Linked DNA regions of Callithrix jacchus. The protein of the gene in region 7 binds, or shares a complex with, the protein of the main gene of each other region. Links are inferred from orthologs where the notes say so. Each region holds a gene or a part of one and is shown on either strand. Other genes may lie near its edges.

Region 1 (3,939 bases), on a different chromosome or scaffold from region 7:
GTCAGTAAGATCATCTTCCATTCATTTTCCTCCCATGCATCGTACCGGCAGTAAGGACAGAAGTGGTGCTACAATTATTCACCAAGATAAACTCACCGATAAAATCCAACTTAACAATCAAACTAATTATAAAGCAAAACCAGGGCCGGGCGCGGTGGCTCAAGCCTGTAATCCCAGCACTTTGGGAGGCCGAGGCGGGTGGATCACGAGGTCAAGAGATCGAGACCATCCTGGTCAACATGGTGAAACCCCGTCTCTACTAAAAATACAAAAAATTAGCTGGGCATGGTGGTATGTGCCTGTAGTCCCAGCTACTCAGGAGGCTGAGGCAGGAGAATTGCCTGAACCCAGGAGGCGGAGGTTACGGTGAGCCGAGATCGCGCCATTGCACTCCAGCCTGGGTAACAAGAGCGAAACTCTGTCTCAAAAAAAAAAAAAAAAAAAAAAAGCAAAACCAAAACTGAATTTAAGCTTTTATCAAAATGGCATTTACTGAGAAGCTGTGATCAGCTGTATAACATGGTAGGGCTTTCACAAACCGCCCCTTTCAATGGCCACAAAACTTCTGCAGAGCAAGGTTTTGTCAACTTTCACTGGCAGAAAAGGGGCCACAAGAGCTGCCTGGGATCTGGAAGTGCTCACTCAGGACAGCTGCGCGCGGCACACACGGGGGCAGGGGGCTCGGCGAAGCGGAGTCCCATGCAGGTCCCAAGGCTGCGACTCACAAGCCACTCTCTCTTAAAACTCACATCCTAAGATCTGTTAAAGAACAGAGAATTTCAAGTGTATTTAAATAAACGGAAATAGCAGGAATGCATATCAAGTAAAGACTGAAGTACGAAAATGACCAAAACACCCCTGGTGTGTGCTCATCATTCTCTGAAGAAAACAGGATTAGACCACAGGGAGACGCCCTCGACAGCAAACAGCTCAGTACAGAGCTTCCCAATGGGACTGTACCCTCGACAGCAAACAGCTCAGTACAGAGCTACCCAATGGGACTGTACCCTCGACAGCAAACAGCTCAGTACAGAGCTACCCAATGGGACTGTACCCTCGACAGCAAACAGCTCAGTACAGAGCTACCCAATGGGACTGTACCCTCGACAGCACAACAGCTCAGTACAGAGCTGCCCAATGGGACTGTACCCTCGACAGCAAACAGCTCAGTACAGAGCTGTCCAATGGGACTGTACCCAATAGGACTGTACCCTCGACAGCAAACAGCTCAGTACAGAGCTACCCAATGGGACTGTACCCTCGAGAGCACAACAGCTCAGTACAGAGCTACCCAATGGGACTGTACCCTCGAGAGCAAACAGCTCAGTACAGAGCTACCCAATGGGACTGTACCCTCGACAGCACAACAGCTCAATACAGAGCTGCCCAATGGGACTGTACCCTCGACAGCAAACAGCTCAGTACAGAGCTGCCCAATGGGACTGTACCCTCGACAGCACAACAGCTCAGTACAGAGCTACCCAATGGGACTGTACCCTTGACAGCACAACAGCTCAGTACAGAGCTGCCCAATGGGACTGTACCCTCGACAGCAAACAGCTCAGTACAGAGCTGCCCAATGGGACTGTACCCAATGGGACTGTACCTTCGACAGCAAACAGCTCGGTACAGAGCTGCCCAATGGGACTGTACCCTCGACAGCAAACAGCTCAGTACAGAGCTGCCCAATGGGACTGTACCCTTGACAGCACAACAGCTCAGGACAGAGCTACCCAATGGGACTGTACCCTCGACGGCAAACAGCTCAGTACAGAGCTGCCCAATGGAACTGGGACACCGAGGACGCCTGGGGACACCTGAGGGACAGGAGCAGACAGGTTCTCATCCCACCTGGGGGTGTTAGATCCTTGTAGGAAGACAGGACCACAGCATGGGCGGAGCAGGGTGAGGGGTGCAATGGATCAGGAGGCCGGGGTGCAAGAGGCGCTATGTCCCCACAGCCCAGGGCCGGCGGGAGCAGGGCCTCAGCACCATCACAGGACCAGGAAGGAGCCTCAGGCCCCATAAACCAGTCCCCAAGGAAGGACTGGAAGCCCGTCCTAGCCTTGGGGTGGCAGTGTCCCGCGCCAACAGCTCCACTCACAGCCAAACCTGCCCACCCGGTGCCTGGGGCCCCATTTCTGGTGAGGTGAGGCTGCAGGATTCTCGGATTGGCTCCCACCATCGAGGATGCAGAGGGCGGACAAGAGACAGGAAACAGCATTGTCAGAAGCAGCATCAGCTACCAGCAGCGGCCTGGGGAAGGGGGATGCACCACCTCCCGATGCCCAAGCGCTCCTCTCCTGTGTGCGGCGAGGCAGCAGCATCTGCTATCACTGCCCCAGGGCCAACGCACGGCTACGGCCAGGGCCCTACCCCTCCCTGGCTTCCAGTGTTGCCAGGAGGGCCAGGGCCAATATTTGGCCTCAGCACTTCAGAAGCCCTTGTTAGATAAGAGCTATGAGCTCTGACACAAAGAGGAAGCTGCCTCTGGCCGGGGCCGCGACCCCATCCACCTCCCGCCAGTTACTGGAAGGATGGTATGGGCACGCAGGAGTGCAGGGGGCGCCATCACCTCTCCCACAACAGCACAAGGGCAGCTGCAGAGGGCCGTGGAAAACTGAGCACTGGCCGTGAGCTCCCTGATGAAGGGAAGGCCCACGCTGCCACCAGAGCCCAAATCCAATCACGCCTGGGAACGCCCCCAGCCACGCTCATGCAGTCCCGACCCCACCCAACTGTCCACTCCTGTGGGTGCCTTACCACTTGCTGGGCAATGTTGACATTGGACTGTCCAAAGGTTTTTGGCAAGAGCTGCTTCCCAAGTGGGTTGACAGTGGAGGGGTGAACGGCCACGAGGGACACCACACCTGCAACACAAGGACACCAGGTCAGAGGCAAGACTCCTTTTCCAAATTCAGGCTAAAAGTAGCCGTTCTAGCAAGACAGCGCTTCGAATCAGAGACACTGAGCTTTCCCCACTTTTACTGTCTCAAATCCATGGCTCAAGAGCAAACACCTCCACGGAGCCTATTTCTCAATTAAAACCGTAAGTGGGGGCATGCTGACACAGCCCAGGGGACACAGGCTGAACATCCACTGCTCAGGCCTTGGCAACATCTGCTACAGAACGTGCTGGTGGCACCATGGCCTGGAAAAGTCTGATTCTGACAATTATGGAGCAGAATTCCAAAACTAGAGTTAATTTTTATCCCAATATTTCTCTATATGGCTGCAAAATTAGTTTGGAAATCTAATAATCCACTTTCCTCAGAAAGGAGAGCCACAGTTGTTCCTAGAAAGGAGTGTGCCTTCCATGGAGGCTGCGCCTCTAAACACACAGTGCCCTTACAAAGGAAGTGGGGAATGCCTCTGCAGGAGACGTGAATCCTCTCTCCTCCAACAGCGGTACGCAAAAGGTCCAAGGGACGCGGCAGTGGGTGAGAGTCACGCAGCATTCACACAATAAATAGTAAAATGAAGTGTAATGATAAAATTCCAAAAAATGGCATCACCGAGCGGAGAGAACAGAGGAACCCATAAACCAGATGGTAGTGAGCACCCTGGGAAATGAGGTGGTCAGCGCAGCCCAGGAGTGGCGTCAGGGCGCCACACGGAGGTAGGTAGCGGACAGCCCCCCATTTGAAAATACACAGTACCCTCAGGTGAAGAACAAGACAGACTCTCGGGTCATGACAACATCAGGTGAGGAGAACTCCCTGATCTCGTCATACCTCGGGCCTCTAAAAATGCCCAGTCTCCCAAGACAGCCGCCCGTCTGGAGCTGCAGGGCCCTGGACCTCCTCACAGGCATCTCCCTCCATTCCCACCAGTCAGCAACAAAATGACTTACAGAAAATTGGTGAGACTCTGTAACACGTTGCCTTTGCGATCTTAAGTTTCATTCTGGGGCCCTTTACAACTCATGCATTTTAAAAA
Region 2 (4,722 bases), on a different chromosome or scaffold from region 7:
CGGCTCACTGCAACCTCCGCCTCCCGGGTTCAAGCAATTCTCCTGCCTCAGCCTCCCGAGTAGCTGAGACTACAGGCACGCACCACCACGACCAGCTAATTTTTGTATTTTTAGTACAGATGGGGTTTCACCATGTTCGCCAGGATGGTCTCGATCTCTTGACCTTGTGATCCATCCACCTCCGCCTCCTAAAGCGCTGGGATTACAGGCGTGAGCCACTGCACCCGGCCGTGAAACCCCATCTTTACTAAAAATACAAAAATTAGCCAGGTGTGGTGGCATGTGCCTATAATCCCAGCTATTGGAGAGGCTGAGGCATGAGAATCACTTGAACCCAGGAAGCAGAGGTTGCAGTGACCCAAGATGGTGCCATGGCACTCCAGCCTGGATGACAGTATGAGACTCCATCTCAAAACAAAATAAATAATAACAAAAATAAATTAGCTGGGCATGGTGGTGTGAGCCTGTAGTATCAGCTACTTGGGAAGCTGAGATGGAATGATAGCTTAAGCCTTTCAGTGTGCTGGGAGCTATAATCATACCACTGCATTTCAGCACCGGCAATAGAGTGAGAGAGACCCTGTCTCTAAAAGAAAATTTAAAAAAAAATCATTGAGGGTAGGATCTATAACCTACACCGGTGACCTTATGATACCACAATCTGGGACAGAACTCTGCTGTGAGTCTTACTCTCACAAATTAAGTAATTAGATGGCTGTATTTGAATTTCAGTTTTCTCCTTTTCAAAGAAGTTCCAGCAAATTTAGCATGAAAAAGACAAAAGAGTAAATAAAAAACATTTTTAAATCAATATTGTTTGAATTAAATTTTAAAGACAGTGACAGGTGGAACACTAAAAATAGAAGTGAGAGAGCTAGGCCATGGAATATTTTAGAATGAGTTACTTATTTAGAAGATGAATTTAATTAAGTTCAAAGTGCTCGACTTGATTTTGTCAGATTAAAAAGAAAAGATTAGGTGGAGAAGAGTGAAACTCTGTAAGAGATAAGAATGAAAACTTAAAAAATAAAGAGTGCAAATAAAGTGACCATAAAGATGGCTAGAAGACCAAAGGAAAAACATACAATGTTTTTAATACTCTTCCTGGCCAAAGAAAGGAAACTAAATTGAGAAGACAGGGGAAAAAATCCAACTCAAGAAACACATCTTTAAAATCCCCCAAATCTGTAAAAACAATTTAAAAATAAACTAAAAAATTTAATAACAATTACCTCTACTTCTATCACTTGGCTTTGTTATTTTAAATTGTGGTGAAATATACATAAATTTGACCATTTTAACAACTTTTAAGTATACAGTTCAGTGGTATTAAGTACATTAATTGTGCAATCATCAGCACATTCATTTCCAGAATGTTTTTCACCTACCTAAACTGAAATTTGGTACCTGTTAACAGTAACTCCCTATTCCCTCGCCTTGCTTTTTAAATGCCCTTCTTTCTGGCAAGAGAAGGACATTTCAGCAAGAGAGCACCCAGGCAGGAGACTCTCTTTTGACTCCAAACATCCATAATTTCTTTTTTGTTGTTGTTGAGACGGGGGTTTCGCTTTGTCACCCAGCCTGGTGCAGTGGCATGAACATGGTTCACTGCAGCCTCCACCCCAGGGCTCAAGAGATTCTCCTGCCTCAGCCCCCCAAGTAGCTGGGATTACAGGTGTGTGGCACCATGCCCAGCTAATTTTTGTATTTTTTTTTTGTAGAGACTGGGCTTCATCATGTTGTCTAGGTTGGTCTTGAACTCCTGAGTTCAGGCAATCTGCCCGCCTCAGCCTCCCAAGATCTTAAAACTTAAGATCAAGTAATATATTATTTCTGCATATATCTAATCAATCTTTCAATAAATGCTAATTAAAGACCTACTGTTCACCAGGCACTGTGCTAAACCCTGGGATCCAACTATAAACAAGACAAACTTGAAATTTATAATCTAGCATAAAAGGGGCAAAGTTAACAGAATTACTATGCTGACAAGGAAGACACTGAGATAATGAATAATGGTGGGGAAGAGCGACTCCAGATCCTGTGTTCTAAGAGACTCTTTGGGAGGTGACATCTAAAAAAAGATCTGAAATTGAAAAAAAAATATTTATATGTTTGAGTAATCTTTTGGAATCTCAAAGCACCTAGCATTATGCGTTTCATGTAGCAGGTACTTAATAAAGCTCACCTTGGCTTCAATTTCCTCATTCCTGTAATGAACTTTCAAGATTCCTTCCAAATACAAAATGTGTTTGTCTAAGGGAGGGAAACCTATATATCAATGAAATCGATATATATAGTTGGGATGGGAACGACAGAAACAAAAATGAGTTTAAAAATGACTGCAAGACCCTAACTCTCTAAAGCAGAACCGAGACCAAAAGCATAGGAATATACCAAGACAACCTAATTGTTACTTGAAATGACTTGCATTTTACAATACATAAACAGAAATCGTTCATTCACTCAGCCTGAAGAAACAACACAAAAAGCAGATGCAAAAGAGGTTGCGACCTGTGCAAGACAACACTTAAAAGCTCAATACTCATTCTCCTCGCGACTCTCACGGTGAGGGGCCGAGAACGTCCCCCGATTATCTTGCTGCCACGGCAGTGGTCCCAAACAAGAGACAGGAGAGAGATCATGTTTCTCTTGCGGTTCAGTATCGAGATGAGGTCAGCCAGCAGCCACTGCTAGAGTTTGTGAGAATCGTTCCATCCCTGCGCTCAATCAGAAGAAAACTGATCCCTCAGTGTGATACTCCAAGGAGGAGACTAGTTTAAGGCACGTCCTTTCCTCCACTAACATCTCCTCCGAGGCTCTCAGCCTCACCCAAATAGAGACAAGGAAGGATCAGGGCAACCCCCTGTCCTTTTACCCAAAGTGAGTCCCTCCCTGGTGCCCTCCTCCACACGCCTGGTACAGAGCGGGGAAACTGGGCACCTCCGGAGCCGCTGTGAAGAACCAGTGAGCTGAAGACGGCGATGGATCTCAAGAAAAAAAGTAAAAGGGAAAGGAGAAGAGCCCAAGAAAGAAATGTATGTTTGAGGGGCAGAGACAGAGTAGACGTTGCCGGTAGAGCAAAGAAGGAGGCTGCAGGCAAAGATCTACAAGCCGGCTCTTACCGTCTGTGGGAGACGCCATCTTCCAACCCATGTCACGTGACATGGCCAACCGTCGGCGGGAAAACGAGGATCCATAAGCCACTCCCCCAAAGAGAAACCCTATCCCCAACTCACAGCCTAGTCTCATTCCCTCGCCTCATAGGGCAACATTTGCCTATCCCCGCCCCTAATTATAGCCACGCCCCTCGCGCAGTTGTTGAGGTGGAGCGACTGCAAAATTCTTGGAGGGTCTTATTTACTTTTCTCGGTGAGAGGGCGGGGCCTCGGTTGCGCCCTTGGCCAATCGGAGTTCCGGGTTAGGGGGCGTCTTCCCCGTGTGCACAGTATGGAGTGTCCAAGTCAGGGGCGTCTTCTCTACCTCCGCCAACAGCATTGGCTGAAGTGGGAGAGGGCGAGACCTTTTTCGCTCCTGACCAATCACTTATTCACAGGACTGGCGTGTGAGGGGCGGAATCAGGTGTTGGTTCGCGTGACTGGCTGGAAAAAATAGTCCTACCCACCAATGAGGAAGCCAGTCAGGATGGAGGGCGAGGCCTGGCAGCTGTAGTGCTTCTGAGCAGTAGAGGCGCAGGGTGCGGAGCTAGGGAGGCCGAGAGCCATGGCGGCGGTGGTGGCGGCGGCGGCAGTGCGAGCCCGGATCCTGCAGGCGAGTGAGGGTGGTGCCAAGGGACCATGAAGCCAGGACTTAGATCTTTTCCGTCCACTCCGTGAACCATCCTCGGGCGGGACCACCTTTTTGGCCCAGCCCCTTTTTGGCCGGACCTCGTGTTCCTACGCGACCTGTGCGGCCCTGTCCCATGCGCAGCTCTCACTTCATACCCTACCTCGTCCCGGATCCCACCCGAGCTGTTACTCTTGGCCTTACACCCTTTTACTCCTGAGCCTCCTCTTTTCTGGCTCTCGCCCACTCTCCTCCAGCCCTGCCCGGTCCCTGCTGTCACTCTCTTGCCCTCACCACTCCATCCGTCCACCGTCTTTCCTTTTCACCTCTGCACCAGCCTTCTCTCTCTCCCCCGAGAACTACTCTTTTTGATTACTCTTTCCCTGCCGTGAGCGTCCACGTTGCCATTGCTCCCTTTCCCCACCCTACTTCACTTTCCTTGATCCGAGGTAAGGGGGAGAGGGGATGTGAGGGGAGAGGGTAAGTGTATGAACTTTGAATCTCCTTCTAGACGTGTACTCCAGGTATTCACCAAAGGCAGCCATTTGCAAGCTATTTTCCCCAAGCGTGGCTCTTTGTATTTTCCATAGACTGGGTTGTGCCCTTTCTTGCCAAAACTTTCAGCTAAACTTTCTCTCAGCTAAGTTACAGTTTACATAGATAGGGCACATCTACATAGGGTAGATGAGGGCACATAGTTAACGCTACCAGTGTGTTCCATGTACGTTCAAGGTACTAAACATCTTTAAGACAGGTGATAGAAAGTGGGAGCCAAGTAAGACAAGAAGTCAAAGTTCTCACCCCAAAATCAGCTCTTCTAGTGCCACACACCCTCATCATCTCTGCCTTTGGGGGATTGATTCCTCTCTGAAGCCAGCCAAAGGAGAAATGACAAAGCTACAGGAGTTGCATGCCTGAGGCCTGTAATCTCCAACT
Region 3 (3,346 bases), on a different chromosome or scaffold from region 7:
TGTTAAAGCTCTTTTTAGGATGTGCTTGTGCTCACTGTGTAAATTGTGATGCTCATCCTGCTAGTGAACTGTGAAAGTGTCAGTAGAGATTTCCAGATGAAAGAATGTTACCCACTTTTGTTGTTATTCAACACCACCAATTTCTCTCTCAAAAATCGTTTCAGATTGCCATTTACATTTGTAACTAAGGAAGTAGCTGAAGCCACATGTAATTGCCTCCTTGCCCAGGCAGAGCAGGCAGACAAGAAGGGAAAATCAAAGGCAGCGGCGGAACGCATGATACTTGAGGAATTTGGACGATGTTTGATGAGTGTCATCAACTCTGCAGGAAAGGCAAAAAGTGACCCTTGTGCCATGAATTGCTAACTCTTGCACAAAAGAGTGATAAATGGAACTGTTCAGGAAATTTAAGGTGCAGGGACACTTGATTTTCTGGAAGAAAAACAATTACTGTATTTTAATTCAGTCCTTGTTGTAAAAGACCTGAAATTATACTGAAGGAGAAGAAATTTTAAATGAGGAAATTAGTACATTTTAAATCTTAGTTAAATCTGCTTATGCCCTTTCTAAATTGAGTTTTTCTTTATTGTATTATATAGATTTTTTAATTTGCTTGGGTTTCTTAAGAATTAGATGTTTTCTTTCTGATACCTTTGACAAAAAACGTTTATAAATGACTATAATTTATAATGTATGGTGTTGTATGACTTTGTTAGTAGAAAAAGCCAAAGCAGCAGTGGTTAGCACTCAGTTATTCTTTGGGACTTGATCTCGAATATATGCAGATAGAATGTTACATAAACAAATTCTTACGAAACATATTCAAATGACATTTTTTTTTATTTAGAAAAGCACTATCTTTTAAAGAAAAATCAGACTTTTAGGGCAGATTCTGGAATAATATCCTGTTGTCTCTTTGGGAATGTCAGAAGGGGAAACAATCCCCAGGCACACTTTTAAAATTTTTTTAAGTTATTTTAAAAAGACATATAAAATATTAAAGGACAGTAAACAATTCTCAGAGGATGAGCAGTGTGTTTCTATATAATAAGGAATGGCTAACAGATGCTCTCGGCTGTCTCCATTTTCTTTCAAAGAGGTAGTATGTATTTAAAGTAATAAATTGTCAAAGTGGTTACTGGGTACTACTAAAATGATAGGTGCATAGAAATAGAAGTAAACATATTATGTAGTGATAATATAGAACCTCCCATAGTAATCAAGTATAAAATTTGGCATGGGTGGAGAAACAAAGAATTTGGAAGCTGTAAAAGATGAATTTAGAGAAGTTTTCATCTATACAATCAGTTCTTTTTATAGACTTTTGGACTAAGTTTTCAAACCAATTCGTGACTCTTATTTGATGTACAGAAATGGGCCTCTTGAAAAAATTTTCAAAATTGTAGTGGGATTTCTTTTTATAAGGGAAGTTTAATATGGCATTATTTTCAGCCAGTGATTTGGTAAGGTGAAGGACTACTCTTTTCCTATATTTACTAAAATAAGCTAAATCATTTTCAGTAATTCAAAAACTCTATGAATTTAAGAGCCTGTTGTGATAAATCAGGACTTCTGATTTTATAAGAAAAAACCATGTTGGAATTCAGGCATTTTATTAGGTACCTTAATCATCAGTAATTAGTGTATGATTATTGCATTTCCTACAAGGACTCTATAGTTGTATGTATTAAGTGTGTATATATGTTCATATGAACTCACAAGATATAGGCAATAGAAATTAAGTAATCTAAAAGAGGATTCCGTTATTCACTAAAGTATCTTCCTTCTAAATTTGGATTCATAAAATCACAGTGCAGTAACTTTAAATGTAGATAGTGCAGACATTCTTAGCACCTCAACGTAGTATGTTTAATTAAAATTTGTATAAATGTAAATTAGTGTAAGAGGACAAAATAATTAATCAAGTTATTTTTCAAAAGATTGCAATAAGTTTTTGGTCTTAACCTAAACTTTGTTCATTTTGTACATACTCTGTGTTAATTCTAACTGCACCTTTGTGATGTGTATTTATATACAGTGTGCAGAAAATGTTTGTGAAATTTTGATTACAATTGTAGATTATGTATGATGGCATTGCTTACGAATGTTTTGCTTGTAAAAAACTTCAAGGTGCAATCAAATGCTACTAGTTTTTCTGATTTTCAAAAATCTATCTAAAATATGAAGCCTTTTCCTTCCTGTGTAGTACTTACTCAACTTTTTGTATTCAGGCATTTGCATCAAATTGCTGAACAAGATAAACAGCCACATTAATTCAGTGATTTTAAAAGACTATTTGGAGAGGGTTGGGTATATAATTTTTTAGCTCTATTTACATCCCAAAGTAGAAAGATTAAATTTATATTTACTAGAGCTATTCAAAGAATACACTTTTCTATATTGTAAAAACAGGACAGCAAAGTAAATCATACAGAAAATAAACATTTATACTATTCTGTAAAAAAAAGGTATTGCATTTTTTCTTTAGTTTAATAACATCACTTTAACCATTTAATATGCAAGAAACCTTTTAAATTATCTGATGAAGTAAATGTTACATTACTTCTGAAAACACATAACTAAAAAGTTCTATCATTTTGCTCAGTTATTACTAACATAAATTGCTTTGAAATGAGAATGTCTTCTCTTTCTTTCCACTGTTTCTTTTAAGAGTAGAAACTCAGCCAGGCATGGTGGCTCATGCCTGTAATCCCAGCACTTTGGGAGGCCAAGGTGGGTGGATCACTTCAATCCAGAGGCTCTAGACCAGCCTGGGCAACAGGCTGAAACCTTGTCTCTACTGAAAAAAAAAAAAAAAAAAAAAAAAAAAAATTGGTGTGGTGGCGCATGCCTGCAGTCATGGCTACTCAGGAGGGTGAGGTGGGAGGATCCACCTGAGCCTGGGGAGGTTGAGTCTGTAGTGAGCCAAAATTGTGCCACTGCACTGCAGCTTGGGCAATCAGAATGAGGCCCTGTCTCAAAAACAAAAATACCCAGAAAATCAATCTACTATCTCTCTTTTAATGTGAGATATTCTTTTTTTTTTTTTTTTGAGACGGAGTTTCACTCTTGTTACCCAGGCTAGAGTGCAATGGCGCGATCTCGGCTCACCGCAACCTCCGCCTCCTGGGTTCAAGCAATTCTCCTGCCTCAGCCTCCCAAGTAGCTGGGACTACAGGTGTGCGCCACGATGCCCAGCTAATTTTTTGTATTTTTAGTAGAGACGGGGTTTCACCATGTTGACCAGGATGGTCTCGATCTCTTGACCTCGTGATCCACCCACCTTGGCCTCCCAAAGTGCTGGGATTACAGTCGTGAGCCACCATGCCAGGCCCTAATGTGAGAT
Region 4 (4,739 bases), on a different chromosome or scaffold from region 7:
TGACTATCAGGACATTCACAAAACTTTTGCTTCTCCCACTCTGATAACCTTCTTCATGTTTTTTCATTTCTATTCTTTCATTCTCAAAGGGCTGACCTTTTCTTGATCTCATCTCCAAACTGATGGTGAAGTGCAAGCTGCTGAAGCTCCCCCAGGTGCTGACAAGGAGCAGGGTTTAATCTTCTTAGAGAGCCGATCAGAGGGTGTTTAGAAGGCAAAGGAGAGGTTAAGCTAGCTCTGAAGGGAGGATTACTTTGTAAAATTGAACTTTCACCCTCCCTGCTCTCCCTCCTCTCTTAGCATGGCAGCACCCAGTTACCTAAGGCACAAAGCTGGCAACAGCAATACTACTTCCTTCTCCTCACACCCAGTGACTCACCCAATCCTTTTTATTTTCCACACGTCTTGAGAGGTGGAGTGCATGCTGCCGCCTCTAATACTGTTGCGGTGGTGGTGGTCGTGGCTGGCTGATGGGTGCTAGCGGCTATTAGAAGGCCCTTACATTTATCAAATCATTTAGCCCTCAAAACAACGCTGTTATTATTTGCATTTTACAGATAAGAAACAGAGGCACAGAGAATTCAGTTACAAACCAACGTGCCTGAGATTATACAACTAGCAGCCCATCTGTATTCTTCCCATTGAGGCCGCGGGGCTCCAGCGCCACCTCTGCACCTACCTCGCTAGCTACCAGCGCAGGCATCTCTCAAGTCCTTTGCATGCCCCAAATAAGCTTCCTCCTGACTGGTTTCTAGGCTCTCATCTTGTCCCCTACCAATCCATTTTCCATATTTTTGTTCTAAAACACAAATAGAAACATGCCCTCTCTTTAGGTAAAACCCGACTCTTCCATTGCTCCAGTGGACTAAACAAGCTCAACTCCTTCCCCGGGTGGGCCTCTGTGTGGCACTCTGTCATCTCAGTCTACTGCCTGTTAACTTTGTAGTTCCTGGAATTCACCCAAGTTGTCTTTTGACTGCTTAACTGTCTCATTCCTCCAACTCCCGTAAGTTCCTAGAGAAAAGAATTGGAGCTCAATGACATTTGTTAAATGAATTTTTCAAAAGCAACAGTATTCTATTACTGGAAAGTGTTACAGACAGAAATTGTGAAATTTTTCCTTGGGCTTCTTTCAATTTCGTTGAATTCTCGTCCAGTATTCTCATAACATTTGGATCAGGTACTTTATCACCTTGTAGTGTCACTGTTCCTTTCTGTATCCTCTCGAAGCCTCCTGTTATTCGTTTCCTAATTCTCTCCCAGCCCATTGCACGATCTAGTGTGGAATGGATGAAAGAGCAGAGCAGAACAGTTCTTCAGCTGTCGGCCTAAATGACTAACTTCATGACCTCTCAAGGTCTCGCTCCACGGCTGCATACAGCTCAGCTTCCAACATTCGGGAGAGGCGTCCCGGGCTCGCGATGGACCGCGGGGCCCGAAGGTCGCGACGCGCAGGGGTCTGCTGCGGCCAGAGCTCTCCGGAAGAGGGAGGCGCCCGAGCAACGTGGGTTTCGGGAACCGTGAATATTTCACTTTGCGTACAGCCCCCTAGGGCAATGACACCCAGAACCGAGGGCTTCTTTACCCCTGCCAGGGCCTCCCTCCCGTTCTCCAATCGGAACAAACAACCTGCAGTTCCCACAGCTGCAGCGCGGGCCGCGGAACACGCGACGGGCGCGGGGCCCGGGCGGGACTCCGGAGCTGGCGCTGCTCCCCCCGCGCTCCGGCGCCGGGCTTCTCCGCGCGGCCTCCTTCCTCCCGCCCGCTCAGCTGGAGGCGGCGGCGGAGGGGAAAGGCGCGGCCCCCCCTCGGTGGCACCTCCTCCCCGGACAGGCGCGGACGGAGCCGAGCCCGCCTAAGCCGGCTGCGGCGGGAGCAACGCAGCGCGGCGCCGCGGGCAGCGAGCTCCGCATTCGAACCTCCCTCGCAAAGACAGTCTCCGCCCCACAATGCACTGCGGCGGGCAGCCTTTGAAAAAGCGGCGCGGCTCGTTCAAGATGGCGGAGCTCGACCAGTTGCCTGACGAGAGTGAGTAGCACCTCAAAGCACCCCCACTTCCCGCCCGCCGCCTGCTCCGCGGCTGCACCGGCCGGGACGGCCGGCTGTGCCCTCCGCTGGGCAGGTGGGCTGACTGCCAACTCCACCGTGGTCTCCTAGTCCTTCCACTCCGGTGTTGCCGCCGCGTCGCCGCCTTTGTTATGGTGTCTGTGTGTTGGTTTCTAGGGTTGTGTGAGCGCCAGGGCCGGAAACCGAGAGCCCGGGAGTCCAGCCTGTGCCGGGCGGAGGCGGTGGCTGCTCCCCTGGCCCGACTCCTGCCCCCGGCCGAGGTGGGGGTTAGAGCGGCCCCCGGGCGTGGGGGCTGTCCTAGCCGCCTGCACCACTCGCCCGGCGCGGAGAGACGCTCGCCGGGGTTATGTAACTCGCCTGTCCCGGGGCCGGGGGAGGGCTCGGGCTCGGCACGGGGTGGTCCACGGCCCCATCTTCTTGCCCCAGCCTCTGATGTTGTCCTGTCACAGCTCCTGCTTCTACGAGCACTTCTGATCTTCACTGTCCTCTCCGCCCGCCCCCCCCCCCACCCCACTGGTGTGTCCACCCCTAGAAGTGTTTCCGTGTCAGAGGGTTAGCCCCTTCCCCTGGGACCACAGGTGGCTGTGGACCTTTCCCGAGATCATCCAGCCCGGATACTTAGTGTTCAGGTAGCCCCCGTCCCGAAGACTTTCTTCTGTATGTGTCTTAAGAGCCATAATGTACCTTTATTTTGCATGGATGTGACCAACACAGCGTACGTGTGCAGTACCCTCCCTGACACCCACTCTAGGGCATTGCCTCATTTAACCATGTTTACTCACCCTGACATCTAAGACATGTATGCTCACTTGTGTTGAGTAAGTAAAAGCACCAATTCCATAGTTTAAGGGCAGTGGAACTTGATTTTGTAATTTACAGCATTGCATAAATTATATGAAAAATCAAATATGTTAGTTAATTACAAAAAGGTCCTGAATCCACATTCACTATTCAGTTTATACATATCTGCGAAAGGCTCAATCACTATTGAATCTATCTGTGTACAAGGCAAATGAGAACTCAGCATACTGCCGATTCCATTTTCTTTGTGAGGTCATGTATTCTTAATAAGTTGTAAAGTTAGGGGCCGGGCGCGGCGGCTCACGCCTGTAATCCCAGCACTTTGAGAGGCCGAGGCTGGTGGATCACGAGGTCAAGAGATCGAGACCATCCTGGTCAACATAGTGAAACCCCGTCTCTACTAAAAATACAAAAAATTAGCTGGGCATGGTGGTGCGTGCCTGTAGTCTCAGCTACTCAGGAGGCTGAGGCAGGAGAATTGCCTGAACCCAGGAGGCGGAGGTTGCGGTGAGCAGAGATCACGCCATTGCACTCCAGCCTGGGTAACGAGAGCGAAACTCCGTCTCAAAAAAATAAAAGTTATGAAGTTAAAAATTTAAGTTGCCAAGCTGGTGAAAAGTTGTATTAAAAGTGTTTGTGTTTTAAATTTGATAGAAAGCAGCGCCAAGTCCCAAAGGAACTTTGTCGGTGATGGAATTGTTTTCTTTTGTGATATCCCATAAGGTAGCCAAGCCACATGTGGCCATGGAACATTTCATGTGGCTAGAGGGATGGAGGAACTGAATTTTGAATTTTATTTAATTTTAATTTGCATAGTCACATGTAGCTAGTGGCCACTGTATTGGATAGGGCACAGCTGTTGACCAGCCATGAGTTGTATTGTTTATTTGTAGAATACAATTGATTGTGATTTAGAATGTTCCCAAATGAGTGTAGACCTACTAAGCACAGTGTTCTTGTTATCCAAAAATGTTTTTCATCATCCTTGCTATCTTTATCATAAAGATGTCTTATCACCTCTTGGTGTCATGATCACTAGAGCCACTATTTTGGTTAATGATAGGCATTTTAAGTGGCTTTCTTACAATTGCCATCAGGAATATTTGCTTCATATCATCCAACATTTATTGACAATTTACTGTGGTTCTTTGTAGGAACTTGAGATTTATACTAGGGTTCAAATTCCAGCTCCACTCTAAAATTAACATAACCTAATCACTTATATTGCTTTATGACATCTCTGGTACATTGGTGTGTATTTGTGAAGCATATGTCTTGTTTAGCCAGACTTCCGCTCTGTTGAAACCAGGGATTTTCTTTCATTGTTTGTCATACAATGCCACAAGTCAAGTATCCATAAATACTTGATTTCTATGGAATTGAATACAAAGTAACAGGTACTATTAATGAAACTGGAGCCGGGTCTTGAAAAGGAAAAGCAATTTCAATATGATACTGGAAATAGAAGTATGTTTTTTGGCCACATTTAGTCAAGGGGGCTAGCTAATACCTTATCCAGTAGTTGATACATTATCAATAATGAAAGCTACCATTTATTGAGTATTTACTGTGAACCAGATGTCATGCAAAGCATATTATATGTTTTTGCTCATTTAATCTTGATTTCAGTTGTTGTAAGTACTCACATTTTATATGATGAAATCAAGGCTATCTTCAGCCCAGATCTTTCCTGAGCTTCCTTTTTTGATGTCTTGCCTATTTCACATTTCTTCTTAGATGCTTCAAAGGCCCCTCAAAACTGCACAGGTTCAAAATCCACCTCATTCCCACCCCAGGACAGATACTTCTAGTGATTCCTGTATTAATGAATGGTTCCACTGTGCAGTCACCTGGCAGGGCAGAAACCTAGA
Region 5 (3,939 bases), on a different chromosome or scaffold from region 7:
ACATGGTGGCCTGTAATCCCAGCTACTCAGGAGGCTGAGGCAGGAGAATTACCTGAACCCAGGAGGCGGAGCTTGCGGTGAGTCGAGATCGTGCCATTGCACTCCAGCCTGGGTAACAAGAGAGAAACTCCGTCTCCAAAAAAAAAAAAAAACAAAAAAAAAAAAACCCAACAACAAACCACTGAAGAACGTTAACCTCTTCTGCTCAGCTTATCGGAGGAACACTCTTTCTACTTAATAATGAGGTGTTACAAGATTCTAGAATCACAAATAAAAGCCAATTAAATAGAATCTTTAAATTTGTTACCATTTTGTCTTTCAATCATGAAATGAAACATTTTTCTCTCTGCTCCAGCAGATAATCTCTTTGCTTGCTCCCATCCAGTCTAGTGTGTACTAGGAGTTTCCATTCATGGTTCCTCTATCCACTACCATGCTTTACTCCTAAATTAAGATTCACTGGAAAATTTGTGTGGTGTTCTGCATTTGAAAAGATGTTGTAGGAGCATCCCTTGCATCAGAAGCTCTGACAAGCCAGGCCCCCCTACCTGTCCCTCATCCAACCAGGTCAAGCTGCACTGATTCCACCTCTAAAACACCTCTCCAATCTCATGGCCACTGCTGTAACTCAGACTATCTAAATTCCCCTCCTTCATTCCATTTCCTTCCCTATCTACCTATTAATTTTACTTTCAACCCACTGGCAGAGTGATCCTTTAAAAAACATCCTATCAACCCTTCTCTTTGTAATTTATCAACTGCTTCCCATTGTTTACAGGATCAGGCCCCCACTGCTTAACACTTAGCTATCTGTCCCCCTTTCTCCATGCCTGTTCCCTGGCCACACCCAGGTCCAGGTATGCTTTTTCATGCCTATCTCAGTCCATGTAGCACCTTTGCCTGGAAGGCCCTCCCCACCCTTATCCACTTGGCAAACTACTCCCATCTCATGCCTGAGCTCATGTATTATTTCCTTGGTAAAGCCCTCCCTCATCCCTCTTTGCAGAGAATCTGTACATTTCTTTTACAGGAATAATCACATTTTTAGTAACTCTTTTACATTTCTCTTCTCCCCAGTTGGAATGACAGTTTCTTGGTGTCAGAGATTTGCCTTGTATAACCTGTGGTTAAGCACAAGGTAGATGTGAATAGGTTTTTTTGCTTAATGAGTCTGTAGTATTAGCTCAGTATTACTGATCATGAAAATGATGCTCAAATTCCACTCTATCACAAGGAAGAAAAACAAGAAAAGGTTATTTCCACTCTAGCATATAAAAAATATTCTTTAGCTTCTGATGAATCTCTGGTTTCTTTCTCCATCCAGAAGTATAATACTAAATAACTTATTTGCTGGGGGGAAAAAAGACTGAGAAAAACAGGAAATCAATCTTAATGATCTCCCAAAGCTATATAATAATAATTATTTTTTTTTTTTGAGATGGAGTCTTGCTGTTGTCACCCAGGCTGGAGTGCAATGGCACGATCTTGGTTCACTATAACCTCCGCCTCCCAGGTTCAAGTTATTTTCCTGCCTCAGCCTTCTGAATAGCTGGGATTACAGGTGTACACCACTATGCCCAGCTAATTTTTGTATTTTTAGTAGAGGAGGGGTTTCATCATGTTGGCCAGGCTGGTTTTGAACTCCTGACCTCAGGTGATCCTCCCGCCTTGGCCTCCCAAAGCGCTGGGATTACAGGCTTAAGCCACCGTGCCATATTTAACCTCAGTTTACTCCATTTATGGCCATGATAGCAAAATTATGTAAAGTCAATTTAGAAACAGTATGTCAGGGAACATGTTCATTTAGGGAGAACTTCCTATAATGTTTAAAGTTAACAGAATTTAAAATGCTTCTGCACACATCATTCAAAAATTCTATCAATTCTGGCAAAGACACAAATGAAACGCCATTTATTCTGTTGCTACTAGTTCTAAAGTCAAATGCAAAAGTCTGACTTTCATAGCTGTAGTCAGAATATTGTGTAACCAATAAAGGAAATAAACAGCCAGCTTGATCCATTTTTTTTTTATACATACAGCCAGCATCTCATTAAAAAAAGTGTACTAGTAGAGCACTCAGGATTAAATTCGAATAAAATAAAAATCTTCTCTAAGAAACAGAAAAATCAAATTGTTATTTAACTTTTATATCTCTCTGTTTCATCATTTACCAATTAAACTGTAGAATATACCAATTCTAAAATTCTATAGTCTGTTAAAAAATGACATAGTATACATGAACAGTTGAAAATTTTATATTACATGAGCATATTTTTAAATTAAAATGCCTCTGATGTAAAATAATGCAAACAGCTATTCATAAACAGATTTTCTCACTTACCTCCAGATTCTGACATTCCTGAGCAGAATTGGTAGGTAGGCCAATCCACTTAATTTCTTTTTTTTCCTTTGAAATTATGTTCATTGCCATTAGTACATTTAAAGCATCATAAACTCTTCGCCTAATGTTCTTCTGATCGTAAGCCTGCTAAAAAGTATTTTATTGAGTGATAAATTTTAAGGGTTAAGTCACATGATATTAACATATCAAATTAATACTACATCTTCAAAGTGCTGGAATAATTCTATTTTTTTATTTAGCTAATTGACGAAGACATCCAAAAGAATTTTATATTCTGTGAAAATATCCTTCAAAATTAAAGATGAAATAATATTGTTTGAAAATACTTTCAAACAATATAAAACAAAATAATCTTAAAAATAAAGATCATGTTACCCACAGATCTACACTGAAATATACTTAAGGGATTACTTCAGGTAAAGAAATATCATCTAAGATGGGAGCTTAGAGATGAAGGATAGAATGAAGACCAACTCAAAAGTTAAGTATGTGGGTAAATCTCAGTTCTCACGGTATAAAACAATAATCATGTCTTATGGAGTCTAGAATAAATACAGAACTTAATATACATGACTACAAATAGCATATATATTAACTGAAAAAGGTATTGGAGGTAAAGTATTCTAAGGCCTTGCATTGTCTGAGAGGATTTTAGACTTTAAAAAAATCAAGGACACTTATTCAAATTCTGGACAAAACTGTGCTTCTCAAAATGTGTTCCTTGAACACTGCTGATCTGCAAACTGTTTCCAATTTACAATGAGACTCAGAACTTGCACCAAAATATAATCCTCTATGTCACAAGGGACACCATTCAGTTCAGCTGACCTTTTCTTTCTTTTTTTCTTCTTTTCTTGATAGCAAGACTTACTCAATGAAGGAAACTGTTGGTTTACATTGTGGAACAAAGTCCTCATGAAATGTAATGATAACAAAGGATGGAGGAGAACACTGAATCCACCTAAATATAAAACTAGATCTAAATAAGTGGGAGATTTAAGTTATAGAACTGAATATACTAGACATTTTGACACTGGGCTGGGAGCAGTGGCTTATGCTTGTAATCCCAGCACTTGGAGAGGCTGAGGCGGGCAGATCATCTGAGGTCATGAGTTCAAGACCAAGCCTCACCAACATAGCGAAGAAAAAATACAAAACCTAGCTTGGCATGGTGGCATGCGCCTATTATCCCAGCTACTAGGGAGGCTGAGGCAGGAGAATTGCTTGAATCCAGGAGGTGAAATTGCAATGAGCCGAGATTGCGCCACTGCACTCCAGCCTGGGTGACAGAGTAAGACTCCATCTTAAAAAAAAAAAAAAAAAAAAGGAAATATTGACATTATAGAAAAAAATGATACTATAAGAAGTACCAGGAGGAGGAAATGCAGTAGGTATGCCAATTTCCTCTTTTTGATACTGGAAGGGATACGGATATTGTTCAAAGCAGATTAAATAATTATAAAAGGTTCAGCACGATCTGTTGATTTAAAGTAATACAAACAATTCTAATAGTATTATTATTGTTTTTCCGAGACAGAGTCTTGCTCTGTCACCAGGCTGGAGTGCATGGCACCATC
Region 6 (4,415 bases), on a different chromosome or scaffold from region 7:
ATTGAAAAATTAGCTGAGCACGGTAGTACATGCCAACAGTCTCAGCTACTAGAGAGGCTGAAGCAGGAAGATCACTTGAGCCCAGGAGTATAAGTTTACAGTGAGCTATGATTGTGCCAATGCATTCCAGGCCTGGGCCTGAGCAAGACCCTATTTTGTTTTTGTGTTGTTTTGTTTTTTTCAGATGGAGTTTCACTCTTGTTGTAAAGGGTGGAGTATAATGGCACAGTCTTGGCTGGCTGCAACCTCCACCTCCCAGGTTTTATTGATTCTCCTGCCTTGGTCTCCCAAGTAGCTGGGATTACAGGTGTACATCACTATACCTGGCTAATTTTTTTAGTAGAGACAGGGTTTCACCATGTTGGCCAGGCTGGTTTTGAACCCCTGACCTCAGGTGTTCTGCCCACCTTGGCTTCCCAAAGTTTTCTGTGGGATTAGGCCCCTGGCTTGATTCTGACTCATTATGACTGTTGGAATTACAGGCATGAGCCACTGAGCCTGGCCAAGACCTTGTTTCTAAGGAAGAAAGAAAGAAAGAAAAAAGAAATAAAGCAAACATTAAAGATGTCGTATTCAACTCTGTCTACCTAGATATTTAGCTCTTCAACCTTTCTTAGTGTTGGGGGTGAGAGGAAAGATTCCAGGCAGAGGGAATAGCATGGATAAAGCACAAAACTGGGAACAAGCTTGTCATATTCAAGAATCTGAAACAGGTGCATGCCATGACCATAGTTTGACACAGTAAATGCTTATTCAATGACAGACCTTCTGCAGGAGAGACCAAATGAGACTTGGGATGTCAGAAATGCTTTCTCAGGCTTTCAAAAATCAACCTGTTTTCAACTGAGAGGCCATTCATTCTAATCTTCCCTACTTTCTTATTCTTTCCACAGCTTTCCAGTCATGCCACATACAGATGCGGACCACTGTCCTTCACCCAGTCTATCCAGTCCTGAAAATACACAAGTCTTTTTCAGGTACTTTTCCTTCATATACAGACACGCATACAGTCAACACATTTCCAACTCTATGCCTTTGAACCCAGCAAGGATTTCGCTGGGTGGGGAGTCAGCAGTGAGCCCTGGGCATGGGTCCAGTCCTCTTGGTACATGAAAGCCTTTGAACATGAGGCCACTGGAGTGCTACATGACATATACTCCATCACAATTCTGTCTACACTGGCCTTATGCTTGCCTGGGTTTCTTTTTCTTTTTTTTTTTTTTTTTTGGAGACAAAGTCTTGCTCTGTTGCCCAGACTGGAGTACAGTGGCATGATCTCAGCTCACTCCAACCTTTCCCTCCCCAGTTCAAGCAATTCTCTTGTCTCAGCCTCCCAAGTAGCTGGGACTACAGGCACATGCTGCCACGCCCACTAATTTTTTGTATTTTTTTCAGTAGAGACAGCATTTCACCATGTTGCCCAGGCTGGTCTTGAACTCCTGAGCTCAGGCAATCCAGTCACCTCGGCCTCCCAAAGTGCTAGGATTACAGGGCTGAGTCAACGGGCCTGGCCTCTTTTTTTTTTTTGAGACAGAGTCTTGCTCTGTCACCCAGGCTGGAGTGCAGTGGTGTGGTCTCTGTTGTTCACTGCAGCCTCTGCCTCCTGGGTTCAAGCGATTCTCCTGCCTAAGCCTCCTGAGTAGTTGTGATTACAGGCAGGTGCCACCATGCCCAGCTCATTTTTTTACTTTTAGTAGAGACATAGTTTCACCATGTTGCCCAGGTTGGTCTCTAACTCCTGCCCTCAAGTGATCCGCCCCCCAGTCAGCCTCCTCAAGTGTTGGGCTACAGGCATGAGCCAACCACGCCCGGCCTGGGTTTCTATATTAGAATAACCCTGGGCAAAGCAACCTTCTGGGCCTTGCTATTAAAACCTGGAAAGTAGGTCTAGTATTCATTGGCATGCCATGTTCACAGGGCTTTTGTGAGGATAAAATGCAAGAATGATGAGGAAAATCGAGTAATTATAACTGACATTTATTTTTTCAGAGCCAGACACTGATAGGAAGCATCAGGACGATGGTCTGACGGAGGGCTGAGATCAGCTTCGTGTGCACATTGGCTCTGCTCAAACTGCTGCTCCACCCTGGTGAAGCAGAGGGTGGAGGTTAAATGGCTCAGATTCTGGGTCTGGCTCCATGTAGAAGTATGACCCCGGGCCCGCAGCTTAACCTGTCTGGGGATGAAGCTGTTCGGTTAACTTAAGAGGAACCTGTCGGCTTCCTCTTGCGTGGAATGAGGACCGCAGAAGGGGTTCAGAGGGAACTGAGTGAGAGGGTCCATTTCAAGCTCTGAGCAGTGGCGCCTTGGCGTGCAAATTCATTTTCACTTTTACCATTATATTTGTTCCTACCTATTTAAGGGCAGCCACGACGTCTGTGGCGCTCGGCAGGGTGGAGGGAAGTGTGGTTAGGAAGCCTGGGGTCTGAGTGGCGCGGGACCTAGGCCGCTCCTTTTTTGGGGCTTCAGTTTCCCGCCTCAAAATGATGGGTGGAATGGCTGGGTTACACCCAGCCTTCCCGCCCCTCGGCGTCAGGCTGGGCAGCGACCCTCGGTGGGGAAACTCCCACCACCCCGTAGGCCAGGGAAGGGGCGGGGCGGGGCGGGGGTGGGGCCTGGCGAGAGTCGGGTCCGGCCGTCCCACCTGCCGCCGCTCACCTCTAGGCTGTAGTTGCCTCGGATGGCGGTGAAGTCGTCCAGGGCTTCGGCCGCGCTCCCTTCGTCCAGATTCAGCTCCTGGCACAGCGCCTGTAGCGCCTCCCCGGCTGCGGCGACCACCGCCGCCCCCTCGGCGTGGGGCTCGTCCTCGAACATCCTTTCAGTCCCCACGGGCGGCGCGCCACGGCCCCCAACTTCTTTCTCTCTCTCGGACGAGCTACCCACAACCACCTGCGCCAAAGCGCGCGAAAATCGGCGGTTGCGGAGCGCCTTGTCTTCCACCGTCTGCCTCCGCTTTTCCTCCTCAAAAAAAGTCCGTTTTTCCTCCGGAGCTCCTAGCCTTCCCTCTCCGGAAATGTGCTAAGAAGACGGACCACAGATCCTGAATGACCTGGACTTGGCCCTTGGCGGATCGCTGGGGGCCCAGCCGGCGGGGCAAAAAAAGAGCGGAGGGATCCACAGCCTGCGCGCAGAGCCTGCTGGGAGGTGTAGTCCATCTCGGGGAGATGAAGCCCGCGGCCTGACCATGTACCTCGTGTAGCATAGTGAGATACCTCCTCTATCCATGGGCCCTGGGTTTGTCACTGTTTCTCCTGCCTCAGGCTCCTTTTTAGAAAAAAGTAACCTCTGGACGAAGAGGGGCTCTTGGGACTCTCCCCAACATCCCAGCGCCCAGTGCCAGTGAGCGGTTCACTAAATGACCGAGGGGAAGGACTAGTGAGGGTTATTAGGGGACGGATCCTGATTTCGTGTTAGTCACACGAGGCGGGCAGAGAGGACTGCGGTAATGAGGCAGGAGAATAGAGTCTGGAGGCAGGGAACCTATGGTTGGTTCACGTGACTTTCTAGAACAAAATTGAAACGAAAACCCCAACTTTCCACGCCTAAGTAACAAAATGACCAGAGGCTATTTTGTTGGACCTTTTTTGCCTGGCAGATGTGAAACTGTCCGCAACAAACCACACTGAGTGCTTGCTCTTCTTCGTTTGCAACTTTGTAACTTAACTTCAGTCTCTGAATAGTTGCTGTCCACAACCAATCAGACTCATTGCTGTAGAGTCTTCATTTGCATAGAAGTATAACTTTGTAACTTAACCCTAGCCTCTGATTGGTTGGTTTCTGCAACCAATCAGAAGCTATTCAATTGTCAAAAAATCCAAAAGTTTGAAAATGTTGCAGCGACTCCCCATTTCTTTGAGGGTTAAGCCAAGCTTCTTGTCCTAGCCTATAAGGCACTAAGGGTCTGGTGGTCCCCTGTCTAACTCTGCCTTCATTTGCTCCTCTCCCCTTTCTCACCCTACGCTGGTCATACTTGTGATTCCTTGTGGCTGCTTTTTTTCCCTTTAATTTGGAAAAATACAAACTCAGTTTTTTATTTAGTGGTAACCCCAATGTTTTAAAAAAGTGAAACATTTCATCCAAATCACTAGCTAAAAGATAATAGCTAAGAATACTTGAACCAGATATCAAAGAATTGGGGAAATGGGGGCGGGCATGGTGGCTCACACCTGTAATCCCAGCACTTTGGGAGGCTGAGGTGGGCAGATCACTTGAGGCTAGGAGTTCACGGCCAGGCTGGCCAACATGTCAAAACCCCATCTAAAATACAAAAATTAGTTGGGCGTGGTGATGGCTGCCTGTAGTCCCAGAAGTGGAGGCAGGAGGACAATCACTTGAACCGGGAAGGCAGAGGTTGCAGTGAGCCGAGATCTCACCACTGTACACCAGCCTGGGCAACAGAGCAAGACTCAGTCTCA
Region 7 (4,671 bases):
AAAGTGAAATTAGGCCACCCAGTGGCTCATATGATGTACTGCAGACATGAATATTTTATTTCCAAATCTGGATTGTGCAAACCAGCATTATCACAGTAAGACAAATTTAACTTTACATAACCTTTGATCGTTATTAATAGCAATAATGAAGAGAGTTCTACCTAGCAATTCCATAAACAAAAGCAATATGAGAAAATTTATATTTCATTAGTATGGATATGCTTTTAAATGAGAAAAGATTACAAAATGTCTTCAAATATATATATTAAAGCTAGAAACTACCTTACAAACCATAAAATCCAAAATCCGTATATTAACCAGATGAAAAACTGAGGCAGAGTTTACCTGCTTCCCCAAAACAACACTGCCAGTTAATGACAAAACCGATTAAAAGATCAGTTCTCATATTTCAGTATAATTTCACTCCCACCCGGTTTGCTGGAAACAACACAGTAAAATTGCTTCCTACACACACACATATACATACCACTGAAAAAACATCTTCTATTTCAAGAGCTGGCTTTTATCTTTTCAGTTAGTGCAGTCACAGGTCATCTCAAGTGTAAATAATCTATTACTAGTAAATACGTTTCTAAATATTTTATAAAAGTTTATTTTAAAGGGTAAAACTTTTAAATCTAAAATTAATTATGTATATATAAATATGCTTAAAAGTCAAATATATGTTAATAACAGACATATTAATTTTAGTATTGCCTGTAAATTGTCATTACAACTCCCAGTGGGATGTAAAATTATTTAAAGTCACAATACAAATAAGTCTTTTCCTGTATGTAAATCTAGAGGAGAGATACTACAGCTATCTTAAACAAAGATCAAAACAACCAACATCCTGCAGTTGTTTCACACTTGAGGTAACACTTAGTCTTCTACTTTGTTTTTTGTTGTTGTTTTTTTTCCAGATCACATAGCATAAACATGTATTACAGGATTTACGCCTATACTCTTAGGCAAAACTTGTATACAGCGAACTATAGTTTTCACTTGAATGCTTACATGGTTGTATACTGGAGATCTCAAATTACAACCTGAAGTAACTGAATTATTTCTTTTCCCTTTCAACTATGAATTGAGTTCAAATATATTAAGACACTTAGCTAAAAGGCAAGAGATATTTTTCCCAATGACTATTTTTGCTTCAAAACAATTCACACTCTAATTTGTTTTTTGTTGAAGCACAAAGCAGAGCATCTACTATCTTCTAAGATACGTAAATCATATTTACACATGCAAGAAATGTAGACTATGCAACATATTCGGGTATGAAGACTTAAGAGACGTATCATTCAGAGATGATAATGTATCCCCACATCCTCTATCTGTATACTCCCAGGCAGAATGTAGCTTCACCCCACCACACTTAATTACTCCAGATTTATACCTCTTTAAATCATTCTATTGTGTTTAAATTAACTTATACAACTGGCAAGAAATAAATGTCAAAAATATAATTAATATTTAAATTTCAAGGTCACAGTATTGTCAATAAAACAACTTATACAGGGAAACTAACATTAAGTCATTTTTCCTTTCTTTGTCTATTATTACGAAACATGCACTACATACATAGGAAATGGACAGAAAACCCACTGGGAAGGATAAAGTTCTGACATTTAAACATTCATGTTTACCCAAAATTTTAATTTAACTAAATGCTGATAGCAGAATGAGCCAAATAACTGTTTCAAATAAAATTAACATAAATACTGATAAGTAGATAATATCAAACATTAATAAATTTGATATATTCATTTGTCATCTTAATAATTTTTAATTTTTTATATATTTAAAAATTCAAAAAGCCTAAACCGGTACTTCAGCAATCATAATTACAAGAGCTTTAAATATCTATCTTTTCTGAAGACTGATGTTAACTGGGTCCTTGAAGTTCTAGAGGGGTGGTTCTTTCCTGGGTGCTTTTGTCCCCCGAAAGATATCTGGCAATGTCTGGAGACATTTTTACTGTCATGACTGAGGTAAGTGGAGTGTTACTATCTCTACTGGGTAGAAGCCAGCGATGCTACTAAACATCTCCCCGTTACATAGAATTAACTGGTCCATGATGTCAATAGTGCAAACTTTGAAAACTGTTCTAGAGGGATCTGTGTATAAATTTATTTCATCTCAAGGGTTTGTCCTATAACTTATTACAAAACTAATAAGCTTACAGGGACTTAAAGATTTCTGCAGAAGCATCTTGCACACAGCAGATGCTTAACAGACAAATAAAGCAAAAAACTATTATGTATAGTTACTGCCGATTTTTAGCAGAAATATGCAGTGAATGACCTCCATTACTAAATTTCAACTTAGGAAATACATCACTAGTTAAGACTTTAGGGCTGTGGATCTAGGTAAGTAAAATATTTGGAAAGTCTGCCAAACATCTTTTCAGGTTTATTTGATAATGCTGAAAATCAGAAGATACCCTGTATTTTTGTTATCTGAGTAATTACTCCACATAATTTATGAGTAGCTGCTGTAATGCATATAAATTCATCCTAGCACATTTTCCAGGCCCCCCCCCCCCAAAATATGCCTTACCTCTGTGCAACACTTAGATACGGTCAGAGCCAAACACAGACACTCAAAATATTAAGTGAATCAAACACATTGCTTTATTTTAACATCAAGCTACTAATAGTAACAATGTGGCATGGTCCCAGTAGAAAATATTAAAATATACATATATACATAAAGCTGAGAATATGGGTATGGGAATTACAGAAAACATCAAAAAGGTCCTCTCAGCTATTCCCCAGAGGATTTTCCACAACGTTTCGAGGTAGCCAAGTTGGCAGAAGGGTGGCCACCCAGGTTCACCGCGTAGTTCCTATTTTGACTGTACGGTTATTCAGAAGAGTAGCCGGAACACCATTTTCAAGTCCTCCCGACAGGACAAAGCCACTTTTCTCTGCGTAGCGAACTCCCTAAAAGCGCTCGACTTACCTGGCAAGAAACCTGCCTCCAAGAAGTGGCAGCGTGAGGACTGGAGTCTGGACGCGCATTGTGGGGAGAACCACGGAGCAACCTGGGCATCTCTTACGCCCCGCGTCTCACACCCTGGTCCCCAACTCTCCACACATCGCGGTCGTGCTCCGGCCATCGAGGCGGCCGCGGGAAGAAAAACCTCTGCCCTCGCCGGGGAGGGCCTTATGGCGGGAGGGGGCAGGGGGAAAGGAAAGAGAATCTGAGCCGAGAAGGCGCCGACAGGCCTGGGCAAAAGGGGTGCCACCCACCTGCGCGACCTCTTCGCCATCCTTCAAGTACCGCATAGGGGCGGGCTGGACGGGGACGCGGGTCAGCCTCCTCTAGCCTCCGGCGAATGCTCCTTCTCCCTGACCCTCTAGCCGCTTCCCTCGCTCCCTCCGAAGGCAGCCGAGTGCGGAACGCAAGTCCTAGGCAGGGTGCGACGGAGGGACAGCGGGGGCGGACCGCGACCCGCTCCTGGCCCCTGCCCACAGCGCTGCTCCTAGCCCCGGCCCGGCCGGGCCAGGGATGCCCCCAACATGTCAGAAGGCGCGCTCCCGCCCTCCGCCGGCCTATCCCACCGCTTCTCAGCCTCCCCGCCCCGGTCCCAGCGCGACTCCGCCACAGGCGCCGACCACCGCTCTCTACCCGCAGCTAGCAGTTCTGCAGGGATCGTAGTTTCCTGCAGGGTTTTGTCCGCACCGCCGAATCTCGCGCCCAGCCTCCCTCAAGAGCCGCCGTTTGAATCTGCGCACGCGGCCCTGAACCTCATTGGCTGTGGGGGCCGCACGCGAAGGAGTGAGGGCGGGGCAGGGAGAGCGCGCGCGACTGAGGGCGGGGCTGGGGAGCTGGAAGCCGGGACTGGAACTCGCGGGAGCCGGGGAAGGAGCCGGGAGCCAGTGGGTGGGGCTGCGGGTGGGGCGCGGGTGGGGCGCGGGCGGGGCGCGGGCGGGGCGCGGGCGGGGCAGGGCGATCGAGCTGTCATAGGACCCGGAACGCGCCGAGAGGCGCACCGCGCAGGGCCTGCTGGGAGAGCGAGTTCCTGCGCTCGCCAGGAGCGGGTCCGGAAGCGGCGCCAGAACCGTCCAGCCGCCCCAAATTTCTAGGGTAAGCGGACGGAGTTTCTGGCAGAGTGAGTGGTCCCGCTTCCCGGCGGGAGTAAGTCTCTGCAGCCTCGCCTCGGCCACGTTCCTCACTCCTTACGCGTCTCCCTCCTCACTAGTTAGGAGGAACGGTCTTCTGACCCGAGACAAATGTAACCACAAATTTGCGCGGCCGTTATTTTTTAAGCAAACATGTGAGCTATTTTTACCCAGACGTCATAGCTACGAGAGTGACGAAGACTTTGGCAGGAAACCAAGTATCGTCTATTTTCCTCAGAAAGCAGCAGAAGCGTGACAAGTGAAAAAAGTTCCTAGTGGGAGACGTGCTTGAAACGGGAACGGGAGATAATCCTTGGCTGCCGTTGGTCCTCGAGGTGCTCAATTTCGTGCCCAGCTCTACGGGAAATAACGTGCGCGGCGGAGGAGCCCGGTACTGGAGAATAACGCGTGAAGACGGCAGTGGACTGGGCATTTTGCCCAGACGAATGAGCATGGTAGTTAAAGTGTAGAAGGTGACCTTCCTTCCTCTGGAGAGACTAGGGAGGGGGGGAACCACCGGAGGAGTTTCTAGCGGTTG

What was found.
Region 1: MYBL1 (region 7) and TFDP1 share a complex: the UniProt entries of both Homo sapiens proteins name them as parts of the DREAM complex. The link is inferred for Callithrix jacchus from reciprocal best matches to the Homo sapiens genes MYBL1 and TFDP1.
Region 2: MYBL1 (region 7) and LIN52 share a complex: the UniProt entries of both Homo sapiens proteins name them as parts of the DREAM complex. The link is inferred for Callithrix jacchus from reciprocal best matches to the Homo sapiens genes MYBL1 and LIN52.
Region 3: MYBL1 (region 7) and LIN54 share a complex: the UniProt entries of both Homo sapiens proteins name them as parts of the DREAM complex. The link is inferred for Callithrix jacchus from reciprocal best matches to the Homo sapiens genes MYBL1 and LIN54.
Region 4: MYBL1 (region 7) and LIN9 share a complex: the UniProt entries of both Homo sapiens proteins name them as parts of the DREAM complex. The link is inferred for Callithrix jacchus from reciprocal best matches to the Homo sapiens genes MYBL1 and LIN9.
Region 5: MYBL1 (region 7) and TFDP2 share a complex: the UniProt entries of both Homo sapiens proteins name them as parts of the DREAM complex. The link is inferred for Callithrix jacchus from reciprocal best matches to the Homo sapiens genes MYBL1 and TFDP2.
Region 6: MYBL1 (region 7) and RBL1 share a complex: the UniProt entries of both Homo sapiens proteins name them as parts of the DREAM complex. The link is inferred for Callithrix jacchus from reciprocal best matches to the Homo sapiens genes MYBL1 and RBL1.

The regions. Positions count from the first base shown.
Region 1 is NC_133502.1:29,094,139-29,098,077, reverse strand, and holds part of TFDP1 (transcription factor Dp-1), read right to left. Parts: intron 2,871-3,939; coding exon 2,764-2,870; intron 1-2,763. UniProt on the Homo sapiens protein: Can stimulate E2F-dependent transcription.
Region 2 is NC_133509.1:109,031,038-109,035,759, reverse strand, and holds the start of LIN52 (protein lin-52 homolog), read right to left. Parts: upstream 3,164-4,722; 5' UTR 3,157-3,163; coding exon 3,126-3,156; intron 1-3,125.
Region 3 is NC_133504.1:114,864,945-114,868,290, forward strand, and holds the end of LIN54 (protein lin-54 homolog), read left to right. Parts: intron 1-164; coding exon 165-366; 3' UTR 367-2,467; downstream 2,468-3,346. UniProt on the Homo sapiens protein: Component of the DREAM complex, a multiprotein complex that can both act as a transcription activator or repressor depending on the context. In G0 phase, the complex binds to more than 800 promoters and is required for repression of E2F target genes.
Region 4 is NC_133520.1:22,937,994-22,942,732, forward strand, and holds the start of LIN9 (protein lin-9 homolog), read left to right. Parts: upstream 1-1,859; 5' UTR 1,860-1,949; coding exon 1,950-2,028; intron 2,029-3,176; exon of another isoform or gene 3,177-3,410; intron 3,411-4,739. Other genes in the region: uncharacterized protein LOC144580374, read left to right, coding at 1,422-1,859. UniProt on the Homo sapiens protein: Acts as a tumor suppressor. Inhibits DNA synthesis. Its ability to inhibit oncogenic transformation is mediated through its association with RB1. Plays a role in the expression of genes required for the G1/S transition.
Region 5 is NC_133518.1:42,566,269-42,570,207, reverse strand, and holds part of TFDP2 (transcription factor Dp-2), read right to left. Parts: intron 2,489-3,939; coding exon 2,342-2,488; intron 1-2,341. UniProt on the Homo sapiens protein: Can stimulate E2F-dependent transcription.
Region 6 is NC_133506.1:2,224,514-2,228,928, reverse strand, and holds the start of RBL1 (retinoblastoma-like protein 1), read right to left. Parts: upstream 2,884-4,415; 5' UTR 2,815-2,883; coding exon 2,659-2,814; intron 1-2,658. UniProt on the Homo sapiens protein: Key regulator of entry into cell division. Directly involved in heterochromatin formation by maintaining overall chromatin structure and, in particular, that of constitutive heterochromatin by stabilizing histone methylation.
Region 7 is NC_133517.1:22,490,802-22,495,472, forward strand, and holds the start of MYBL1 (myb-related protein A), read right to left. Parts: upstream 3,152-4,671; 5' UTR 3,030-3,151; coding exon 2,971-3,029; intron 1-2,970. UniProt on the Homo sapiens protein: Transcription factor that specifically recognizes the sequence 5'-YAAC[GT]G-3'.